Notamacropus eugenii: one gene and its partners. The protein of the gene in region 3 purifies or fractionates together with the protein of the main gene of each other region. This does not show direct contact. Links are inferred from orthologs where the notes say so. Each region holds a gene or a part of one and is shown on either strand. Other genes may lie near its edges.

Region 1 (7,365 bases), on a different chromosome or scaffold from region 3:
CTTCCCCCCCCAAAAAAAGGGGGACATTGTGATTGTTACTCCTCGGTAAAAGAAGAAAATGTCAATTAGCCTAAAGTACCTTTATTTTTAAGAAAAGAAAATAAATGAAGCTCAAATCTGGTTGCGAAACATTTTGTTTCTTTTAAATAACAATGTAACCAGGTTGAATCTTCATTTATGTTCTCACAAAGGTGGGGGGGGGATACAAAATTAAAGTGAGCTTCCTCCCCTTCCCTCCAAAAAGGTCATCCCCATTTAAAGCCAAACGCGACTCAAATATATCCCTCCCATACCCCCCTTCAAAAAATAATCCACCAAATTCTTACAAATTTCTCTCTGTAACAAAGAACAGATCGCAACACCCAAAGCTCCTAGCAGATGGCTTCTATTCTTGGTTTTCAGGGGAGGGGAAGACCCCATATATTTATTTATTTATTTATATCTTTATTTATTTATTTAAATTTTTTAAAAATATAACATAAATATTCGCATTTCCACCGTCTCCAGACAGCCCTCGGCTGCTCGGCGCACAGCCCTCCCGAACACAGCCGGGGCGTTTTGGCCACAACCATAATAGGTTTATGGTGAATTGCGAGAAAACAACCTGCCTCGGATCCTGATTGCACCCAGAGGATGTTTTATTTCTATTGCAATAAAAAAAATTGCGCGCGGCTGAGAAGTGAAGCACGCGTTGCAGGCAGAGGGCTAGAGAGAAAGGGAGAAAGCTTGTGTGCGGCAGGAGGTGCAGCCAGACCTTTGGCCACCGGTGCCACTGAGAGCCTGGACTTCATCTTCCAGCGTCTGGGAGGCTTTCCTCCGTCTACCTTTGTGTACGTTTGTCTATTTTGTTCTCTATCTCTTCCTTTCTCTTTCTTTTTTGCAAGAGCGTTGGAAACTGCAGCTTACACATGGTGTTTCCAGACTTGGCTCTCCTAAAGTGAATCTATCCTCCCAGCAACTCGCTTTCTCAGTGTAGTTGACTGCAAATGAGGGCTATCTTTGCTTGTGTTGATTTAGACAGGGAAGAAGATGGATTCGATTGATAGATGATAGATGGATAGGTATCTACTTTTAGATGGATAGGTGCACCCCAATCTCTCCCATTCTTAGCTGACATACTTTTCCCAGTGGTAGGAATTTTTCAACAGCTCAAGTCTCCCCACCTTTTGGGGGGGAAGGGAGGGGGAAAAGAAAGCAGGATTATCCCAGGAGACACGGAGGTGGGGAAATGGGGTGGGGGGAGAAAGTAGGGGGGTGCTGAGGCTGGGCAAGCAGCTACCAAGTTCAGTTGTTTTGCTGGGGGTGGGGGGGGGTGGATTGGTCTGCAGCACCTGGAAAGCTGCACTGGCCTGCAGCCTGGGCTCCCCTCCCCTCTCCAGGCTCAGAGTCCCGAGGACCTGACTCTTTTCCCGCGGGCTGGCTGGCGGGCGCAGAGGGCTCCTCCCCGGCTGCCTGCCCGCCTGCCTGCCCGGATCCCCGGCAGCCGCCGCCGCCGCCGCTGCCGCCGCGCGCCGCGCCCCTCCCCCCCGCGCCATTACCTCAAGTCTCCCCCAACTCTCCCAAGAACCGGGCCCTGAGCGCAGCCCCGCAGCCACCCGCTTCCTCCCCCGGTCAGCCAAGCTCCAACTTTTCCCCCCACTTCCAGGCTCTGCGTATCCACCCTCCTAAAAAAAACCACACAGATTCCTCACCCAAACCCCTCCTCTCCCCCACTCTCGTCCCCTCCCCAGTCCTGCCGCCGCCACACACCGTGCACCGTGCAATCCACCCCAAGTGCCCCCTACACACACCTTCTCCCCTGCAAACCCCCCGACCCCCCGGCCCGGCCTTCCAGCCCGTTCCCGGGCTGCATCTTTCCCCAAAGCCGGCGGCGCGGTTGTCTCTCCCACGCTGCCGGCAGCACCCCGATGCAAAAGAAACTTTAAGCTTTCTCGCCTCCCCCCACCCCAGCCTTCCTTTCCCCAGCCTTTCAATCCCCCCTTCTCCCCTCCGATTTCCAATGACTAACATCAGCCTCGGCTGTCTCTCCCCCACCCCCTCCTCTTTTTCCCCAAGACTTTTTTTTAAAGACACCCCCCACACACACTCTCCCAATCCGTTTCCCTCTCCCCAACACCCCCGGAGCCCTAGGCTCCTAATTCTTCTAGTTTCAAATTGAGACTTACGTGTGATAATCTCCCTTTGTGACAAGTGTTGCGGGTTCCCCTGTTTGCGGCGGGACATTGCCTGGCATTTACACTGACATCGCCCGGAGAGCTGTACCGGTTGGGGGGAATGGAGAGGGGAGGGGGGTGGAGGTTAAAGCCGCTGCTGCTCCCCGCCTCTTTTTTTCCTTCTTTCTTTCTTGCCCCCTTTTTCTCCTCTTCTTCTTCTTCTTTATTTTGTTCTTCTAGTTTAAAAAACTTTCAAATTTAAATTTTAGAAAGAAAAAAAACTCTTGTTGTTGTCGTGCACTAGATGAAATCCCCCCAATATTTAGAAAAAAAAAATTTAAGAGGTAAAGAAAAAAAAATATCTGTCTCTCACTTCTCCAAACTGTTTGGCCACTTGGACTTCCAAATGTCTTCTTGAACTTAGAGGATTTTGCACCAACCCGTGACACTTTTCTCCAAAGTCTCTGGTAGGTGGAAAGCGCACTTCCACCAGGACGGAAAAAAGAATATGAAAAAGAATAAAATAAAATAAAACTTGGGACTTGTTTTCCCCCGCCCCTTGCCAAAAAAAAAGAAAAAAGAAAAAAAAGAAACATAAAAGTGCCCCCCAATTTTTTCTGACACTAACCCTTTTGGCTGGTTTTGGGGGGCAGCTCAGTAGTGTCTCCTTTCCAGTTCACCTGGAACGCTCGCCCTATGCCTTGGGTTCCCAGAGTCCCTGCACCACTTTGCACTGTTCTCCCTCGCCTGGCACAGGGGAAGGAAGGTAGGACGGTAGCCCAGTGCTGCTGGGTCGGTGCGAGCTATTACTATTATATATATATATATAAATATATATTGCAATGTGAAGATGGCGGAGTCCAGGTTCTCTGGGAGCTCTCTGTCTCTCTATGGCTGGGGCTGCCTCTGTACAATGGGATAAAATTCAAGTTCAAGTGCGGACGTGACGTTTAATCTGCACTAGAGACAAAAAGACCCAGAGAGTCGGAGCACTGGGGGCGACTAGTGGTGGCTTTTTAACATTGTACCCTGCAAGAGAACAAGAAAACACACACACACACACATACATACACACGAGCGCACATGCACACACACCAACCCAACCACATGTACAAATCGGGTTTTTGTGCGCTTCTGCTTTTCCATGGTACATGTTTGGGGGGACAGAGGGGAATTCGTAATTTTTTTTTTAAATGATGGTAATTATGACAAAATATTCTTCACCTGTCCACCACTCTTGCGGGCAATACCCTGGATTGATGGAAGGATATAGGAGATGGAAGATATACAAACCCCGACAGCTAGGGTCTTCTTTCCTAGTGGAAAACTCCTTCACTTTCACCCCCCAATAAGATATCATTTTGGATGTGGGGGAGAGCATATGAAGCAACTTGGAAATAGTTGGAGTTGTAATGAGACGGGTTGGGGAAGAGGTAGAAAGGGGGATGGCCAATTATTTAACCACCCCGCCAAAAAAATTCCAGTCAAGTAAGTTAGGTAGTGGGTTCTTTGAGGGTTGGTATAGAGTTATTTAGGGAGAGGAAAGATTGTTAAAACTCTTCTAGAAAATGATTCTTTTAGAACCTCAGTGCTGTATATAGGGCGGAGGGGTCGGTTGAGGTAGGGAGAGTTCTGGCCGAGATTGAAGTGCGGTCTTCCTTATTTTATGAGACTCCTGTTTTGGTAATCTGCCTTCCCCCTCCTCTTTCCCTTCCATCCCCCCACCCCCGGTCTGAGCGTAGTTTTCCCCGAAAGACACTCATCCTAGTTCCTTACTTGAAGTCAGTTCGTGTCAAACATTCCCTTCCCTCTCCCAATTACTCTGAAATCTGCATAGAGCGTTTGGGGGGGGGGGGGGGTTTGGGGGGCAAAGATAAGGGTTGTAATGTTGATCAGAGTTCGATGCCTCTGGCAGGGTGGCGGAGGCATCCTTTATCTATTCACTTTTGGCTCGTGAAGAAATTCAAGGCACAGAGGAGCTTGAACGTGGTCCCTTAACCATGACTCTCTGTGGAATCCCCTGCCAGAGAGGCACAAAATACCCTTAAGAAACTCGTTTCTCAGCAGTAGAATGTCTGACACTACCCATCTAAAGAAGAGGGGATATTTATACGGCCCTTAAAAGTCTTCCCTGTCTCCTTCTAGTTTAATTGGGAAGGATACAACTACCTTTTAGGCATCACTCCAAGGCCCAAACCCGGAAAAAGGCAGGGCTGCGAACCCCAGGCTAAAAGTGTATGTGTATGTGTCTGTATGTAGAATCCCTGGAACTCTACCCTCCACCTTCCTCATTTCAGCCTATTTTTCTCATCTCCCCTTCCCCATAGGTGGCTTTCAGGGCTACGGCGTAGGAAAGATAACTTTTGTTAAGCGGAGGATAAGCCACTTTGGGACCTCCCTTGGTCCCCAGGGAGGTTTAAAATGCAAGCCTTCTCTAAGACTCGCCTCTCACTCCTAGCCTTCCTTTTCCTACACTTCGTATTCCCAGCACTCCAGACAGTGACCTGGGAGGCCCAGGCCTCCGGGGCAGCGCTGCCCCCTTCTCCATTCCCCGCCCCTCTCTACTCTCAGGGACCAGCTCAGAAGCGAGTCTGCACAAACAGCTAAGAAGTAGTATGCATTTAGCACCTCTTAAGCAGTTTATTTTTCTCCCCTCCCCCTCATTCTTTATGGGCTGGGGGTGGTGGGGTGGTAGTTATTTGTTTGCTTTTAGGGTCCTATAAAGGAAATTAGCATCCTGGATAGTAACTGCTCGTAGCAATTTTGAGTGCGTCCAGAAATCCTACTCTACTTTAAAAAAAAAAAATTAGTCAACTCATAAAGTTATGCAAACAATCGAATGGGGGGGAGGGGGGAGATGTGAACTGCTCTCAAATGATAGCGCCGGAGGCAGAGTGAGGAGCGCAAGGGGGAACGGCTGGGGTGGGGGTGGGGTGGGCGCAGTTTTTGAATGAGTAGCATCTTCTGCTAGGAGGTGAGCCAGTAGAGCCGAACCGGGTGGTGAGATCATAAGGGCCAAACTGTAGGGCACAGGGTTGAGGCTTAGGTGGAGAGACAGCGCCCCCGGGGGACAGGGGCTTTTTTCCACCGTGGGAGGCGGGCGGGGGGGAGGGGCGGGGGGAGAGAGAGAGAGAGGGAGAGAGAGAGAGAGACAGGGAGGGAGAGAAAGAGAGAGAGAGAGAGAGAGAGAGAGAGAGAGAGAGATTTCTGCATAAATCTTTCCATGCCCTACCTCCATTTACCTGAAGTCTGAAAAGCTGCCGCCTCACCTAACGTCAAGATGATCGATGAGTCGGGGGTCACGGAAAGCTTTCTAGGAATGCCGCTTGTGTTCAAAGAAAATGACCCTTCGCTTACACCTCTCCAAAAAGTTCAGAGGCATACCTTAGACTGACTACCCTGAATCTATTTACCCTTTCTAGGAGTCTGAGAACACACGCACTTCAGTCTCCTTGTTTTTTGTTTATAACATATATACACACATATATATACATGTATGTATATACACATATATATATACATATATGCCCCTTTATACTAACACATATACACAAAATACGTATGTTTGTATACATATATATCATACATATGCTATATACATTCCTATATAATACACAGAGAAATTTGATGTCACCTAACTGTAGTTTTTTCAGGTGATATAAAATCGTTCCACAAGCTAAGCCAAGAAACTCAAGACCTGAGTAGGAAGAGAGAGGGAGAAGACAAACTGTGGGTTCTTCTGAGAGGGAAGGAAACACGAAAAAGGAGGCCAACGGGACATCAGAAAAGTGATCCACAGGGTGAGAAGAATTCACCTTTCTCTGGGGAGATAAAGCACTTTTCATAGCGATCCAGACCTCAGCAGGATTCCCTTAAGTTTGGGATGGAATTACGAAGGGGGGGGAGTAATTGGAATTCCTTCCTTATTTCTTCCCTGGATCCTCTTTCCATCTCTGCATGTCCAACCAGGAAGTCGCTGGCAGCTTCAGACAGTGACTGTCAGTGGGCATTTCACTCAGGAACCTGGGATAAATAAATGATAAACCCATGGGTGAGTTTCCTTATTACTTTCTCAAACCTGAACTAGGCGTGGGGAGCACACAGTGCCTATCCCGGCAGTGTGATGGTGCCTTCTCTGCTTCCACTGATAAGGTATCTGGCCTGTTTCATCAAAAAGGTGTGCCCTTTTATTTTTGCCCCTAAAAAATGAAAAGAGAGAGAGAAAGAGAGAGAGAGAGAGAGAGAGAGAGAGAGAGAGAGAGAGAGAGAGAGAGAGAGAGAGAGAGAGAGAGAGGAGAGGGAAGGAAAGAAAATATAGAGGAGAAAGAAAAAAAGAGAAGAGAAAAAGAAAGTAAATATAGAAAAAAGAGAGAGAGAAGAGGAGAGGGAGGGAGAGAGAGAGAGAGAAAGAGAGAGAGAGAGAGAGAGAGAGAGAGAGAGAGAGAGAGAGAGAGAGAGAGAGAGAGAGAGAGAGAGAGAGAGAGCCTAACTGCTGCTCCAGTCTCTTCTTTTTTTTCTCTCCCCCGTCTGGCACTTGTGATCATTAGCACTGAAAGCTGTTAATGTCTTGTCTCACAGCTCCCCCTTTAGTCTCCTTGCTCTCCTGTCTCGCGTTCAAAGCCAGATCAATAGCAGTCTCTTTTCCAACCTTGACCTATCCCTCGACCCCGCCTCCGTCTGCAGCTGGGCCCACTGTTCTGTTTTCTCACTCTGTCGATATCAAGTCACAATCGGTGACAGCAGACAAACAAGAAGAACTAGCCTCTCTCCCGGGGCGAGCTGAACTCGCCCCCCACCCCCACCTACCCCACCGCCTTTCCTTTTCTTCCACTCTTTCCCCCAGCACTGCCAGCTACAATGGCACTGGGACCAGAAATGTTTCTGTCCCACGAATTATTTTCATTCTTGTTCCAGGGATCTCCCTCACCCTGCCTTTGATCTATCAGTGGTTTGATTATAATAAAAGGTACTTCAAAAAAAGAACGTGAAAATTAACATGTTGTGGAAATTACAAGAAGTACAGGTTGCACGTGTATTCACTCTGGCTTTAGTGACTAAAGACAGTTTACTAGTCTGTTTGACAGATGGCACTCAGTCAAGGACTTTTCCTTTTAGAAAAATTAATTGATCCTGAAGAATGATGAAAACGGCTTAAAGTAAAGAAATACGGCTTTTCAATATTCTGTCTTAATTTTTTAAAAATCAGCAAGTG
Region 2 (7,935 bases), on a different chromosome or scaffold from region 3:
AGGACTGGATGTGGGTTCCGAGCTGCCCCCTGCTGGCTGCCCTACCCAACTACCTCTAGTGATTTCCCGCTCCCTCAAGGCGAGCGCTCTGTCTATGCTACCTGCCCCTAAATGGGCTCCCTACCGCTCCTGCCCTCCCACCCCAGCCCCTGCCGCCTCTCCCGGTCGGGACAGCCCGGGGCTCCCATCCCCATCCTGCGGAGGGCTGGGAGTCAACTCCCCGGACAGGACGCAAGCGGAGGAGGGAGGGGAGGGAGCGGACTGGGGGGGCCTGCGACCCCGTGCCCGACGGCTGTGATGCACTTGCAGATGCAAAGCCATGAGCTCCGGAGCTCCGGTGGCAAAGGGGCAGAAGAGGCAGCGGTGCAGGGAGCCCCCAGCCCCGGCCTCACCTCCGGTCCCCGCCCGCAGGGACAGGTCCAGAGGCTCGGCTTCGCCCCCTCGCCCGTTGCGCAGGGTCCTCCCAGGGCTCACAGGTTTACGACGGGAGGGGGCAGTGGCGCTGGAAGGGAGGCGGGAGCCCATGGCGCCCTCTGCCCAGGTTGGGGGCGCAGGATTGGGTTTGGCCCCTTGGGATGGAGCTGAGCCCCGCTGAGGTGGGGGCGGAGGTTCCGGGGGTGGCCCCGGTCCAGCTCCGCTCCTCTGCTCTCGATGGTGACGCTGCAGGTGATATTTGAGGGAGCCCGACTGGGTACCAGCGTAATCACAGTGTGGACACTTGTAGGGGCGCTCACCTGCAGAGGGCAGAGAACTCAGTAGGGGAGAGGGAGGTGCCCAATGGAGTCCCTTATCCTTCCCTCAACTCCCTTCCCCTTTCATGGACTTGCAGAGCAGAAAATGTGCAGGGTAGTCCCCTCCTCTAAAGATTCAGGACTGCCCTCAAACTCGTGACTCCCACCCACTAGTGAAGTTCCCCCCATAATCCGTGAATCCCCCATAAAACGTCTGCCACACCCATCTGCAGGTCTGGGCAAGAAATGCCCCTCATCCTCCCAAACCCACACGCTTCTCTCTTCCTTCTCCAACCCCTCGCAGGCCTCTGAGATACCTTCCCCCCATCTCACCTGTATGCACCCGCAGATGCACTTTGAGGTGGTGTGCAGAACGGAAGGATTTCCCACAGAAGGGGCAGTCCTTGCCCGAGGCTCCCCGGCCCCCTTCGGGCCGCGCACCCCCTACTAACAGCCCGTTCTCTTCTGCAACACATGTTAAGGAATCCAGTTAAGAGGCTAAGATCCCAGCTGCGTCTCCCCCTACTGTCTCTCCAAACTGCAAACGGGTACTCTACAAGACCCGAGTGGAAAGCGAACGGTAGGGAACAGGGGGCAGACAGAGGGGAATCAATGCTGCCTCCAGGAAGATAAATGGGCAGGTGGGAACTAGAGGTCGGGACAATGGAAGATCTGAAATGCAGAAAGGGAAAGGAGAAGGAAGCACCGCTGCCGGGGAAGGAGGTGTCGCACTCGCTCCTCATTACAGACACATACCCTGGGAGGCTGCAGGCCGGGACTGGCCCCCCGCGGGAGGGGCAGGATGACCCGCGCCCTCCCCTGGCCGTCTAGGAAGTGAAGCCAGCGCTCCCAGGGCCCTGCTCCGAGTCCAGCTGTCCTCCTCCGCTTCCACCACCACCTCCTCGTCGTCTTCATCTTGCTCCTCCAGGCGGGGACGACGCTCCCGAGCCGGGAGCGGGCGGAAGCCCCCGAAGCCCCGGCCAGCCCCAGGCTCGGTGCCCTCCCCGTTGGGCCTGGCTTTCCCTGCGCGCAAGCTCAGGTAGCCCAGCAAACCCGGGGGCTCGCCTCGATCCCCCTGGGGAGGCGCCGGGGCCAACAGTAGCGCGGGGCCCAGGGGCTCGTAAGCCAGCAAGCCTAGGTCAGGAGGGGGAGGAGCCCGGGGAGGGCCCGAGCCGGGCCCGGGCGCACGCAGGGCCCCCAGCTTGCTGGCGTGCACCTTCATGTGGTTTTTGAGGAACCAGGGCTCTTTGAAGCAGCGGCCGCAGACGGGGCACGCGTGGTCGAAGGAGGCCTTGTGCTTGCGCATGTGGCCCTTGAGGAACCAGGACTGGGTGAAACTCTGGCCGCAGACTTGACAACGAAACTCGGGGGGCGCCGGAGGCTCCTCGGGGGCGGTGGCCGGGGCTGGCGCGGGCTCGGGCTCCGGCTCCGGCTCGGGTTCGAGCTCCGGGGCCGCCTCGGACTCCGGCTGGGGCAGGGGCAGGGGCAGGGGCAGGGGCAGGGGCAGGGGCGCGGGCCCCGCCGAGGCGGCTGCCAGGGGGCGCTCGGGGGCGCCGTGCGCTGTCAGGCTGTGGCGCAGCAGCTCCTCCTCCTGGCTGGAGCCGAAGCTGCACAGGTGGCATTTCCAAGGCCGGTGGAGGATGTGCAGGTGGCGTTCACGCTCCGCCGCCGTGCGGAACTTGCCTTTGCAGAAGGGGCAGCGGAAGGCAGGTAGAGTCGGGGCCGGGGCGGGGGCCGGGGCCTGCGCGGGGCGCTCCGGGGAGGGCGCGCCGCCCAGCCGGGCCTCCCGCAACAGGGCGCGCTCCTCCAGCTCCAACAGCAGGCGCGCGGCGGGGCTGCGCGGGCGCTCCGGCTGGTGCGAGCGCAAGTGCAGGCGCAGCAGGGCCCTCTGCGCCGTGCGGTGGCCGCAGTGCGGGCACTGGAAGGGCTGGGCCCCGGGGTGGGCCCGCAGATGCAGCGCCAGGATGGAGTTGAAGCGAAAGCGCTTCCCGCACACCGGGCACGGGAAGCGCCGCCCGCTCCCGCGGCTCTCGGGCCAGCCCGCCGCTCCCATGCCCGCCGGCCCCCCGCTTACGCCCGGCCCGTTGGAGTAGCGCTGCAGGTCCAGCTCGCCTTCGAAGGCCGGCAGGGCAAGGGGGCCGCCCGGGGAGCGAGGACGTGAGCCCTGCCAAGACAGGAGCGGAGGAGTCGGGTCAGGAGAGGATACAAGGAAGAGGGAAGTGGGGAACCGGAAGATAAGAACTGTGGGGGCGGGAAAAGGGAGGATCAAGGGACAGCAGAGCCCCAAGGGGAGAGGAGAGAGGCAGGAATTAGAGAAGCCGAGTAGCATACCTTCCACCCCCCCCCCCCAAACCAACCCCCAACTCTGCTTCCCGGCTCAGGCAGTCGGTGCCCTGGGGGGGGCGGCGGCATCACTCACCTCCATGGGCTCACTTCACATTCTTTGGTGCCAGGGATTGGAGGGAGGAGGGGAAGCCTCTGGTGGAAGCGTCTGGGGCAAGGGGGCTAGAGAGAGAAAGCCAGATTCCCAATATGAGATCACAGGTTTCCAGGTGGAAGACGTGAACTTTGATCACCACAATGAAAAAAAGGGACTCTTCCCCCTCCAAAACTCAATGTAGATGTCCTTTCTTTTCCCCTCAACTTCGGGGGGAAGGGGAAAGCAACCCTTGATCCCCCAGCCCATCAAGCAGTAAGTGAGAATTTCCAAACACAACCCCTCCCTTGCTGACTTCCGCCAGTTATTCTGGAGTCTATCCCATGCAACAATTCAATGGATGGGGAGGGAGTGGGGTCTCATGATTCCCCAACATCTTCCAAGTTGGGCTGGGCATTTCCCTCTCTCCGTCAAGCTTCCCTCAGTTTAGCCATTGCCTATCAAGCTGGCCAAGTCTACCCTTCCTTTTGCCTGAACCCTGTCTTTCTGCCTTTCCCCCTCATTCCCCCTCCCTCTGCCTGGATTCCTGCTCCATTCATTTCCATTCATTACAGAGACTCATTCATGCATGGGAGAGAAACACCTCCCAGCAGCAGTAGCAGCAAGTCTGGAGACAGACAGAGGGGGAGGGGCATGAGGGGGGAAAGACAGAAACAGAGAAGGGGATGGGAAAACAGTTGGGGAAGAATGAGAGCGAAGGGGTTCTTCTGGTCTGGGAAAAGAAATCAGAAGTGGAAAATCCTGATAAAAAACGTTCCCTTGCTTTTAGCACCCTGGAGACTGAGACCTGATGGTACCTCACAACCCCTTTGTCCAGAGCTGCTCCAAGCCAGACTTTCCTTATCTCTGCAGGGGAGAGGTTCCCCCACACAAGAGGAGGATTACACAGGCTCTGAGCTCTACAGCCTGGAGTGTGGGGCAGAGGGGCGGGGCTAGAGCCATCTGCACAGACAAGAGGCCCAGCACATGGTCTGGAAAGGAAAGGGTTAAAGTTTTCCAGGATAAGACTTCAAGGCCTGGTCATCCTTGCTGGAGTGTTCAGGGAAGCTCGTTGCACAGAAAGGAAAACTCAGGCAGCACTCTAGCCTACAAAGGAGGTCAGTGTTAGGGATCTGAGACTGAACACACAATCTCCAAGCTGCAAGGGAACCTAAAGAACCTAACCCAACCTCCTTATTTTACAGATAAGGAAAATGAGTTTCAGGGAGGTGAAGGGATTTGCCTAAGATCATGAAATTAATATTTAGAGCCTAAGTCTATATTCCTAGGCCAAATCTATCTCTGCTATATCATGTTGACTGACCACACCAAAATACAGAATTACCCAAACAGGTAGAAGAGATAACCTGAGATCACCCAGTCTATATTCCTGCCTTTACCCAGAACTGTACTTAACCTAGGACACATTATAAAAAATTTCCCTATAGTGAGGGCTGTGAATCTGAAATGTGTCACTAATGAAGGCTGAGCCATGTTCCTCCCTTTGACTTTTAATAACAGGTAGGACTATCTGAGCAAGGGGAGGATCATTCTTGCATTGAGATAGAGATTTAATGACCTCTGGAGGACCTTGCATGTCCAGAAATTCTATATGGAATGTGCTGAGCCTCCATCTGGGATCTATGACTCTTTAGGCTGTGGGAGCTTTATTATTAGTGTAATGTGGGACAAAGGAATGCCAGTCTGTGGGGTCACTGAGCCCACAGATAAATGTGTCTCACTCCTAACATTAACATTTCTCCCCAAATCCAATTTGAAACCACCAGGAAAAAACCCTTTTTTTTCCTTGGGACCAAGAACCTGAAAGAACCTAAAGAGAGTTACAGTTAGTACCTCTTGGGTTTGGGAGAGGAAGCAGAACAAGTGAAGCAAGATTCAGTACCATGGAGAGTACAATGGACTACCAGAGGGGTACCTTTGGCCACCTCAGCACCACAGAAAAGAAAATGGTATACATCAGAGTGGCCATGTTTGTCCTCTCAACACCAAGAGAGGGCACTGAGAACCAGAAAGAGGGCAATCTCTCATCTATACACCAAAGAAAAAGTGAGATAGTAGAGGGGTCTTTTGTACTTCTAAATGCCACTGAAAACATTTTTAAATGTCATGGAAAATAAATGAAACTGGATTAATTTACTAGATATGAGGAGCAGTGTCTCCATCAATTACAGTTTGTACATCCTGGTATCAGTAACTGAAGAATCTGTTTCTTAAAGCTGTCACATTCTGGAGCTCTCTTGGGGATTCCAGAATATCCTGGTATTGAACCAATCTTGTATATTTAGAGAAACCAGATGATAAGGGGTGGGGATCCTGAATGTCCAGAACCCATTAACTACCAGACATTTTGTGAACTTCCCTCCCATGCCTCCTAGGCCCTGAAAAGATTCTGGAATTCTTGTCAAGGTGCAAGAAAAGCAGGACCAGAGCTCAAAAGGCCTGGAAGAAATTCACTTTTAGGAAGGAGAAACTATCACAGAAGGCAGTCTTCAAGGTGGTGATGGGGAAATATGATCTCCAAGTATAATAATATTTCAAGAGTGCTTAGACATATAAAAGGGCCCTAAATAAACACCTAAATAATCTAAAATTAGAATTCACCAAGGATTTTCCTAAATAGATCAAATTCTCCTAAGAAAATAGTGACCTGGAAATGAACAGAGGCCAACCTAGGTCCACTTTGATACCATGAGCTATCACTATACTGTGGTCCTCTGAATTTATCCCAATCTAAAACTGTATTAGAACAGTCCTAGATTCTTTGAAACAGGGCCTGAAGTCCCATAGAAAGCTCATGGATGTACCCCCTAGGTATAACAGCAAAGTGTATTTCCCATAAAGTTTGGACTAATTCAAGGCTCAAAGGTCATGACTGATACAATGCTGATCTAGAAAAGCAACTTTCCATTCCCACTCTCCACCCCTTTCCCCGTATATACACACAGACCTTTTCTGTCCCTGACAACCCATAAATGTTTTTTCACTGGTATAATTCTAAAGAGGTCATATGACTTAAGACAGGAATCAGTAACTTAAATTGTTTGCCATACTACTGGCCCCCAAGTGTAGTATAGTGGGAGAATTGGAGATTTAGAAGGACAGGGACCTCCAACTATTAATGGATAGAGAGGGGCAGATACAGGGAGATGGCATGTAGAGAGAGGCAATGACCAAGATTGGCCCTCATGCCATCCTTCAGTATTAGATTGCCAACCAGTGACCTAGGATCAAAGTGCACTCTAAGTTAGTACTTTTAGGGTCCAGTAACATATATATTTCAAACTTGTATTATAAACTTGAACTCTCCGTAGAATCCAGACCCCAAATCTGCCTGAGAGGCAATGCTGAGGCTAAATTGCTCACAATAGGGCTTATAAGGCAGGGGGGTGGGGTGAGGAAATATCAGCCCAGGGCCCTACTGACTACCCCAGTCCACCAGCAGTTCAGATGCCATGGTTCCCCCTCAAGACCATCTAAACATGCGTGGCTAAAGGGACCCAATGAACCAAGGCTTTGGCACCCCTCATGATAGGGGTACTCAGCTTCAGTATCCCTAAGCATAGAGTAAAGGTCCTCTCTTTCCAGATTCACTGCTCTGGGGTGGGCCTTCATTCTGGGACCTAAACAGTACAGGAGGGAGTAAGATGTACCAATTTCAGGCCACAATCAGTGGAACTGCCCCAGAGTCTTGGCCTTCACCCAGACCCCATCCTGACCCGATTCTGGTGGTTTCACAAGGCCTCCTGATTGACGAGGGGATGAGACTGGTGAAACCCCTAGGTTCCTACAGCCAAAGCTGACTATATCCTGGTTGGAATCCCTCCACTAGATGGGAGCCCCCTGCCCCGGATGGAAGTCTGAACAGCCTTCGGGGGGGAAGAGCCCCCTTGCTGTCCTGCCAGTACTTGGATTGGCAAATTGGACTGGGCTCTCATCAGGTTCTCCCCACCCCCGCCCCAAACCGAGACGGATGAGAAGAGGTGGGCAAAACGATTGGGGGCAGAGTCCTGGAGGGAGCGGCGAGGGGCTCGACTAGCCCATCTCGGGAGAACAAAAGCGGAGCTTCAGCCGCTGCCTCGGCTGCCGGCGGGCCGAGCTCTTTGTGACACTTTGTTTGGGACTCGGAGAGAAACAGTCCTTCCCCCACCCCCAGCTCTTCCCTCCCACCCCCACAGCCCGGAGCCGAGAGGTCGGATCCTCGCCCCCTCCCCAGCCCCAGGCCCTACCTACCTGTGCCCCCGATCGCCCACCAACCCCCGGGTCCCCAACCTCGCCGGCCCCGCGCCCCCGGCTCTCCGCTCCTCTTCCCTCCCCGCCCCTCCGGGCCCCTACAAAGACGCTCGCTCCCCCTCGCCTGGCCCTTCCTCCGGGGTCCCCGCTCCCCGCGCCGCCCCGACCTGGACCCCACCTCTCTCGGGGCCCCCAGCTTCCCGGGCCTCCCCGGCCGGCCCCCGCTCCGGGAGCTCCGGGCGAAGTTTGCTCGGGGCCGAGCCGGCGCCCCTCCCCCGCCCCCGCCCCCTGCACCTGCTCCGAGCTGGGCGCGGGGAGCGCCCCCCCCTCGGGGCTGGGGGGTGAGGAGGGGGCCTGGGGCGGGCGCCGGGATGGCGGATGGGGGGGAGGGAGAACGGGAAGGGGGGAGAGGCTACTCACGAGCCCGGGGCGGCGGCGGAGCGGGCGGGCGGGCGGCGGGCCGGCGGCGCGGGCGTCAGCGTTACGTGGGGCCGGGGGAGATGCGCTGGGCCCCGGCCCCCCCGCCCCCGGCCGGGC
Region 3 (7,805 bases):
AAATGCTCATTTTATCGTGTATTAAGTTCAGAATAAAAAATATGTAATTGTTATGTTATAGAAAGATATGGATACACACACATCTATGCATATGTAGATGTAGATAACTACATATGACCCCTTTCTTTTTTTTACTTCCTTGGAAGGTATGTGCCCATTGGTGGAATTGCTAGGTACAACTATATGGACAGTTCGGTAACTTTTTTTTTTAATTATAAATTATTTTCCAAATGGCTGGATAAATTCACAGCCCCCTCAGAAGTATATTCATGTGTCTGACTTCCTGAAGCCTCTCCAGCATTGGCTATTTGCATCTTTTATCATCTTCGGTCATTTGAAAGGAGGTGAAGCCTCAGTTTTAATTTCAACATTTTTGTTATTGTTCATCTTTAGGACCAATTTTTGTATCATCATCATTAAGTATTTCACTGATTCTCTAGATGATTTTCCTATCTTTGATTTAAGTTAGCTTTTATTATTAGCACTGTAATCCCATAGAAGATAATTGTCCAATTTCTAGTTTCTACTCATTCCACTATACTTGTGGGCTTCCCTTTTCTCTTCAGTTGAGCTATTTTCCCATTTTTGATAGAGATTAACTTCCCCCCTTATAGCCTTTAATTAGTTATGTATATTTGGGGAGGCACAATGACAAACATATACAGGCAAGAGATACTGACAGAGAAATTGGCAGTCAGGTAAGAAGTGGGCCCGTGCACAGACAGAACAGAGGGACAGATAATAGAAATACTATCTCTAGGCACCTACATGGAAAGAGAGGAGAAAACTGTGGAAAGATTGATCTGGAAAACAGAGAAGTACAGACTATAAGAAACCAAATAGAATGGCTGTCAGCGGCAAGCAAACACCGAGAAAGTAAGACAGACAGATGGACTGACATAAAAGACAGGCAAAGTGACAATCAGCCACACAGAAAGACTATAAGGGAAAAGCATAATGGAAATGAGAGTTGCAGGAAAACTAAACAAGACAGGCAGTAAGATGGGCAGGCAGAGACAAACAACAGAGGTAGCAGGTAAGCAGAGAGATTTAAAGACTGAGAGACAGAGGCAGGCAGTCAGAAGCAGAGGCAAACCAAAAGGCAAATGAGTAAATAGACTAAACAGAAGAAAGCAGAGAGAAAGAGAGGCAGGTGAGCAGACAGGTGGGCAGAGAAAGTGACAGACAGAGTCAAGGACATCAGAAATGATACACCAAAGGAAAGGCAGACAGACAGATGGAGAAGGCAGATGCAAAGAGGCAGCAGGAAGAGGGCAAGCAGATGGGGGTGGGTAGAGGGATAGGCAGAGGACTGAAACAGAAATAGGGGACATGGAGTGGATGAGGGAGACAGGCAGGGGCTGAGGATACTGACAGGAAAGGTAGGAAGAAAGGAAAGACAGACACTCAGACAGGCTAAAGAGAAGCAGATAAATGGAAAAAGCAGATAAAACGGGGAGGAAGAAGCAGGCAGATGCTAAGAGAACACACAGACCAAAAGGCAAGCCTGAAAGGTACAGAGGACCTTTCAGAAAAGTAAAGCAAAGGAGAGGAAAATAGACAAGCAGAGAGAGATGTTTGCTGACTAAAAAAAAAATCTAATGGGGAAGGCTGGTAAAAAAAAGAAGACTGAGAATTACAAGAAATAGGTAGTCAGACAGATTAAGAGATGCAGGCAAGCAGACAGTAGCTAAATGAGGGCAGGGAACAGACAGTGGGATGCTAGCAGGCAGGTGGGGTGACAGAATGAGAGAGAGAGGCTGACAGACAATAGACACAGACAGACACAGATTGACAATAAGAGTTTATCAAGCAGAAAGACACAGAAGCAAGTAGATAGGCAAGGCAGAAAAGAGACCAAGAGATGCAGGCCAGGAGGCAGACAAGACAGCCAGAGAGAGGAAGGCAGACATGATAATAGCAGCAAACAGGAAAGAAAGTAGGCACGCAAATAGAATAGAAAGGCAAAAATCAAAAAGACCAGGAAGCAGGCCTGTTGGTGGAAGGGAAGAAACAAGTAAAAGAACAGAGAAGGAAGCCTAACTCACAGACATATACTCACAGAAGTGCTCCCACAGAAACACCCTGAGACACATACTCTTAAGCACCCATATCCAGAGATCCTGACATTTAACCCCAGACGCACAGGCACAAGTAAACATACATGAACATACTTAAAACCAGATGCACACATGCAAAGGCAAAGGAGACAGAATATAGTATACACACATGCTCTTATGCACACTATGACCCATAAGCACATAAAGACTGATATACACAGCCAGAACAAAATGATAAACAGATAGTGAGTCCAAGAATCACTGAAAGATGACAGTTGAAGAGTTACTGAGACAAGAGACAGCATGAGAGACAGCCCATGAATGAAACAGAAACAAAGGGACAAGCCCACACAGAGAGACAAAAAATGAGGGAAACTCCTTACACAGAGAAAAAAGTAAGAAACATATATTTTACACAGATATACAAAACTAAACAGAAACAGAGAGCTTGAGACGTAGAAATAAAACCAAGAGGCCAGGATGGAGAGTTGGGCTGAGGCTAGCAGAGAAGGAGACAAAAGATATTGAAACCCAGATTAAGAAAAAAAGGGAAACTGAGGCCCATAAAGTGAAGGACAGAGCCCTAAAATGACAAATTCTTGGCCCTCAAGAAAAATTATGCAAAAGTTCATCCTAGTACCTGTGGGAACATTTTTTTATGTGCATCTAAAGAGAAGTTGCAGTTGTCTGAGCTGGAAGGTTATGTCTATAGTATGAAGTAAGAGACTCATGATTCTAGGCATGTTTCAGGAAAAGATGCAGAAAACAGAACCGATAAGGAAGGGGCAAAATGAGGTCTGTGGGAAAGAAGAGAATCACGACTGGAAAGGGGTGACAAGCTCAGAGCTGAAGTAATCACTAGTCCCATCCCTTTCTCTACACCCCCATAATGGCAGTACCTCTGTCAGCAAACCTTTTAGGGGAAGTACTTCTCTTCTTTATTGATATCCCAGGTACAGAGATACTTGGTGCTTCCTCCTACCTGAGTGCAGGGCTCCCTTCCTACCCCAACTGACAAGCTCTCTTGAAATTTAACTTAGCTTCCTTGTTTGATTCACTTAGGTAGCCCCTAAAAGAGAGGTTTCTCCTGACCCCTTTCCAATTTCCCCCATCAGTATCTCATTCCTATTTTAAGAGGCCGTTTAGGTTGAAGAACTGGATGAGACAATCAGATACAAAGGTCTGATTGCATCCTCTTCTCTTTCATTTTTTCTTCACCTTAGCTAATTTCCTCTCACCTACTGTACTTCAATTTCTTCCACTTTGATGGAACTGAAAATGGGGGTGAATGAAAGAAAAAGGAGTCTGTATTGGAGAGGAGCAAATAAATTTTTTTTCTTTTTCAGATCTTGGTGCTCCCCATCCACAGCAAAATCCATTCTCTGTACCAAGATTTCATAGTAAGTTTATCTGGGAGAAAAGGAAAATGAAATGAAAATATAATTTAAAACAATTGTAAATTACTGAAATGATTTCAATAAAGAATAATCAAACATAAAACTCAGATTGAATGAAAAAACTCAGATTGCTTTCCATTCTCCACCCCCAAAGGGTTTCTATCATTAAAAAAGAAAAAAAAATCTTATAAAATACGTAAAGTTAAATGCATTTCAACTTTAACAAGGTATATGTATACGTATATATATGTATTTGGCCAGATTTATATATAAATATATGTATTTCATCTTTTTCCTTGACAATGCCTGAAGGGAGAAAAAAAAAACCCTTCACATCAAACCACTCCCTTTCTGAAGTACTTAAGGAAAAAAAGCTTTTCTTTTGAGGAGGGAGGTGGAGAGAGAAGAGACTAGTATAGAAAAGAAAATTTTAAAATCTAGTTGGACTAGTATCTAACTAGTTAACCTTTAACAATTTATGCTGATGTCAGACTGAGCATGAGTACTGATTAATGCCCCCCCAAATATTTTTATAGGTGTGTGTTGGGGGGGGAGGTTAGTCAGCAGCCATTTTTGTTTTATGCAGAAATCCTTCATGTTTCTTCCCCCCCTTCAATACACAAGGAAAATATCTATTAATCTGTTTACTAATCAGCTATGAAAAAAGGGAGACTTTTGTGGGTTTCTGGGTAGAGAAGGTTTTAGAGATGAGAAGGGGGGAACTGGAAGCATTTCTGTTGGTGGGGGTGTTAGGGGATGGGGGCTGAAAAATGAAATATTAAGCCAGCCATTTTGTTTTAAAAGCAGATTTTTTTTTTCCTCTCTCTTTCTTCTTGGAGGGGGTGGCGGTGCTGGAGGGGGGGTTGTTTTAAAAATAATTTCAGGGCGGCCATCTTAGTGCTTCAGCTCTAGGAAATATTTCTCAGCGCCCCCCTCAGAATTTCAATATATTTAAAACAACGAAGAGGGGAGTAAGGGGGGGAAGAGCAGAAAAACTTTTATTCATATAATATATATATTTACCCCCCTTTCTCTCTCTTTTGGTCTCCCAGGGAAGGGGAGGAGAAAGTCCCCCCCCTTTAATTTTTCTCAATAGTAAATTGTTTTTGGGAGGCGGTTTCGCCCCCTCCTTAGACAGAAGGGTGGGGGTAGGGGGTGGCCCGGGGGTTTGGGGGGCTGGGGGAGGAGGTGAGTTGGAGGAGGAGGACGACGACGACGAGGAGGAGGAGGAGGAGGAGGAGGAGGAGGAGGAGGAGGTGGTGGTGGTGGTGGTGGTGGTGGTGGTAGTGGTGGGGGAGGCAGGCGGGCGGTGGGTGGGGGGGTGGTGGGGGGGCCAGAGCTACAGGATGGCTTCCCCTCTGAGGGACGAGGAGGAGGAGGAGGAGGAGATGGTAGTGTCTGAGGAGGAAGAAGAGGAGGAGGAAGAAGAGGGCGAAGAGGAGGTGGAGGCGGCGGATGAGGACGACGAAGAGGAGGACGACGAGGGAGTAGTCGGACGCGGGCCGCCGGGGCACGAGCGGGGCCGCGGCCGCCACAGTCCCCCCAGCTGCCACCTCTTCCCGCCGCCGCCCCCGCCCCCGCCGCCCCCGCCGCCCCCGCCCCCACCGCCAGGTAAAGACGCGAGCGGAGGACACCCGCCGAACTCCCCCCCCTACTCCTGATCGCCGCCAGCCCAAAGTTCCGAAACCGTTGGGCGCGAGAGGGGGCTGGGGGGGTGTCGGGCAGGCGCGCGCGGAGGAGCAGGGGGTGGGGGTGGAGAGGAGGGCAGGGGAGGGAGCGCGAAAGGCACCCACCGCGCGGACGGAGAGGAGTCGAGTCCGGGGGCGCGCGGACGACGGAGCAGCCGGCCCGCCTGCTTGGCTGCCCCCCCACTCCCTCCCTCCCCGCCCGCCCGGGCCTGAGGCCGGGAAGCTTTCCGGGCCGGTGGGCCGACCTGCTGGCCGAGCGGGCCTCGCCTCCCCTCCCCCCGGCCAGCCCCCTCCCCCCGCTCTGGGGGGAGCCTCCGGCCGCGGCCGCGGCGGAACGCCGGGCGCCAGCTGAGCGGGCGCGCGGACGGAGGAGCCAACTCTTGGTCGCAGCCGGAGGGGGAGGGGAGGGCTGGTGGTGTGTGTAGGTTTGTTTCCCCCTCTTTTCTTCCTCCCTTCCTTTCTCTTCTTCGGGGGATTAGGAGCGATCGAACCCGAGACGACCCCCCCCACTCCCGCCGCGCATTCGGGCCCCGCTTGAGCTCCAGACGTCCCCCCCCTCGGCTGGCGGGGGAGGGGGAGGCGGCGGCGGAGAGTGGCGACGGTGGCTGTGGTTCGGAGAGTTCAAGCCCGTTTGGGGTTTGGCTAAATGTAAAATTAGATGGTGTCCGTATGCGTTTGTGGGGGTCGGCGTGGGGCTTGGAACGGGGGAGGGGTCCCCCCGACCACCCGAGCGCTTGTGTCCGTGAGGGCGCAGGGTGGCGGGGGGACTTTGGACACTCGCCACTGACTGGCCCGTACAGCCCCTCTCCCAAGATCTTGGAAGTGGGGGTGGGCTGGGTGCCTTGAGGGGAAACCAGATACACCCACCGACAACTCCACCTCTTTTGATTCCTTCCCTTTCCCTCCTCCTTGTGATGGTAGGCCCCTCTCTAGCTAAAGGGTGTGTATTCACCCCGGGACTCCCCCCTTCTACTCTGTGAGCCATTGACCCTCTTTTGTCCTTGAGTGACCCCACTGCTGTGGTCCTGGGGCCCCAGGGGTTGTGACTTCCCTGCTTGCCCCCATCACAGTCACCTCTGTGAGAGGATGACTGAGGGATGTGGAACACCTCACCTCCTGTGGTGTTTGTTACTAGAAGTCCCTCACTCCCCTCCCCAGTTTTCTCACACGGGCAGCTTTAGTAACTGTAGCCACTGCTTCGAGGTAACAGTTGCCTCATCAGAGACTCAGTAGCCACCCCATCTCAGACAGCCTTGTGTGGCTAGTTCCAGAACGTAATGTCAGCTTTACATGTAGAAAATGACAGATGGGACACTTTGATCCCTGTGCCTGGGAGCAGACTTCAGTAGCCTTATAGATTTAAAGTTGGAATGGAACTTAGAGGTTATGGAGTCCAGTCCCTTCATTTTAAATACGAGGAAACTGAGTCAAAGAGAGGCTAAATGACTTGACCAAAGTCACACGAGTTGCAAAGAGGTCTAGCTGGGATTCTGACTCGAAATCAAGTCCTCTTAACTACACCATGCTGCCTTACTTGTGTTTGTTTTCCAGCCCCTATTGATGAAATATGCCCAATGTTCTTAATACTGAAATACAGATTAGCGCCATGTATGGCAGATGTGCCTGTATATACTTCAGCTGAACAACAAAAGACGTGTGGGGGTGGGGGGGAGACGAATAGGAAGGAAGAGGGTCCAAAAGGGAGAGAGGAAAGGAGTGTCTTAGTGAACATGAAATAATTCATTATTTTCCCCCAAGGTCTTCGAAATAGGAAATAAGTAGAAAAAATTACCTTGTGGGGAACACGTTTTTTTAAAGTGCAAATGGGAGAATTTGGGAGACAGGTGTCAAATTCAATTAAACATTTATTCAGCACCTACAGTATATTTGCAAAGTGAGAAAGGAAAGAAAGGAGGAAAGATGGGATTAGGGGATGGATTCTTTCCTTGTCTGCTGAGTTCTCAGGTTAGATAATCCTCTTTGGTCATTTTCAAAACTAGGCTAATAAAAGAGGGGAGAGCTGGGAAAGAAAGCAAGAAAGAAACCGTCAGAGGTTGAGGTGTGTCTTTGTTTGGCTCCCTTTGCTCCCTTCTTCTGAAGCCTATTTACCTAATAAATAAGCAGATGTTTGAAGATAATAAATTGTTTCATTTTGGATTTGGAATTAAAAATAAACATTATTCCCTTCTATTTAAGGCAGTTTTGCCTCTGCCTAACCCTTCAGATTTGCGTGAGTGAAACATCCTTGTTGGGTAATTTATTGATGTAAAAAAAACTTTTGGGGAAATATATTTTAGCTCCCCTTCCTTTTTTGTCACCCCAGGTATGAGGAAGGCAAACACCAATCCTAAGAAGTTTGACCCATGTACTTAACTCTCTCCTTCTGGCCCAAACTCCCAAGTGGAATATGAATTTGTAGATTCTGTAGCTCTGTATTGTTTTTCAACCCTGACTGATTTTCCCTCATCCCCATTTTGTTTCACATTCTTAACTGAGTCCAACTTTACCTCTTTCTCCTCCCACCAACCTCTGTACATTGTTCAGTATTTCAAATCCAAAGACTCCTGTGGGGGGAGGGGAAAGAAGGGAGCCAAAACTCAATTTCTTTCCCCTCCCCCTTCTGGCAAGTATAAAGAAATAATATAATATTTAGATGTGAT

What was found.
Region 1: the proteins of CHD3 (region 3) and BCL11B purify together in Homo sapiens (affinity purification with mass spectrometry; 3 studies listed by BioGRID and IntAct, with this or other methods). This does not show direct contact. The link is inferred for Notamacropus eugenii from reciprocal best matches to the Homo sapiens genes CHD3 and BCL11B.
Region 2: the proteins of CHD3 (region 3) and ZNF219 purify together in Homo sapiens (affinity purification with mass spectrometry; 3 studies listed by BioGRID and IntAct, counting the BioPlex papers as one, with this or other methods). This does not show direct contact. The link is inferred for Notamacropus eugenii from reciprocal best matches to the Homo sapiens genes CHD3 and ZNF219.

The regions. Positions count from the first base shown.
Region 1 is NC_092872.1:356,898,445-356,905,809, reverse strand, and holds the start of BCL11B (B-cell lymphoma/leukemia 11B), read right to left. Parts: upstream 3,038-7,365; 5' UTR 2,224-3,037; coding exon 2,166-2,223; intron 1-2,165. UniProt on the Homo sapiens protein: Key regulator of both differentiation and survival of T-lymphocytes during thymocyte development in mammals.
Region 2 is NC_092878.1:12,818,612-12,826,546, reverse strand, and holds the start of ZNF219 (zinc finger protein 219), read right to left. Parts: upstream 3,096-7,935; 5' UTR 3,061-3,095; coding exon 1,488-3,060; intron 1,197-1,487; coding exon 1,065-1,196; intron 735-1,064; coding exon 121-734; 3' UTR 1-120. UniProt on the Homo sapiens protein: Transcriptional regulator. Recognizes and binds 2 copies of the core DNA sequence motif 5'-GGGGG-3'. Binds to the HMGN1 promoter and may repress HMGN1 expression. Regulates SNCA expression in primary cortical neurons.
Region 3 is NC_092873.1:78,011,598-78,019,402, reverse strand, and holds the start of CHD3 (chromodomain-helicase-DNA-binding protein 3), read left to right. Parts: upstream 1-4,762; 5' UTR 4,763-4,803; coding exon 4,804-5,068; intron 5,069-6,067; exon of another isoform or gene 6,068-7,805.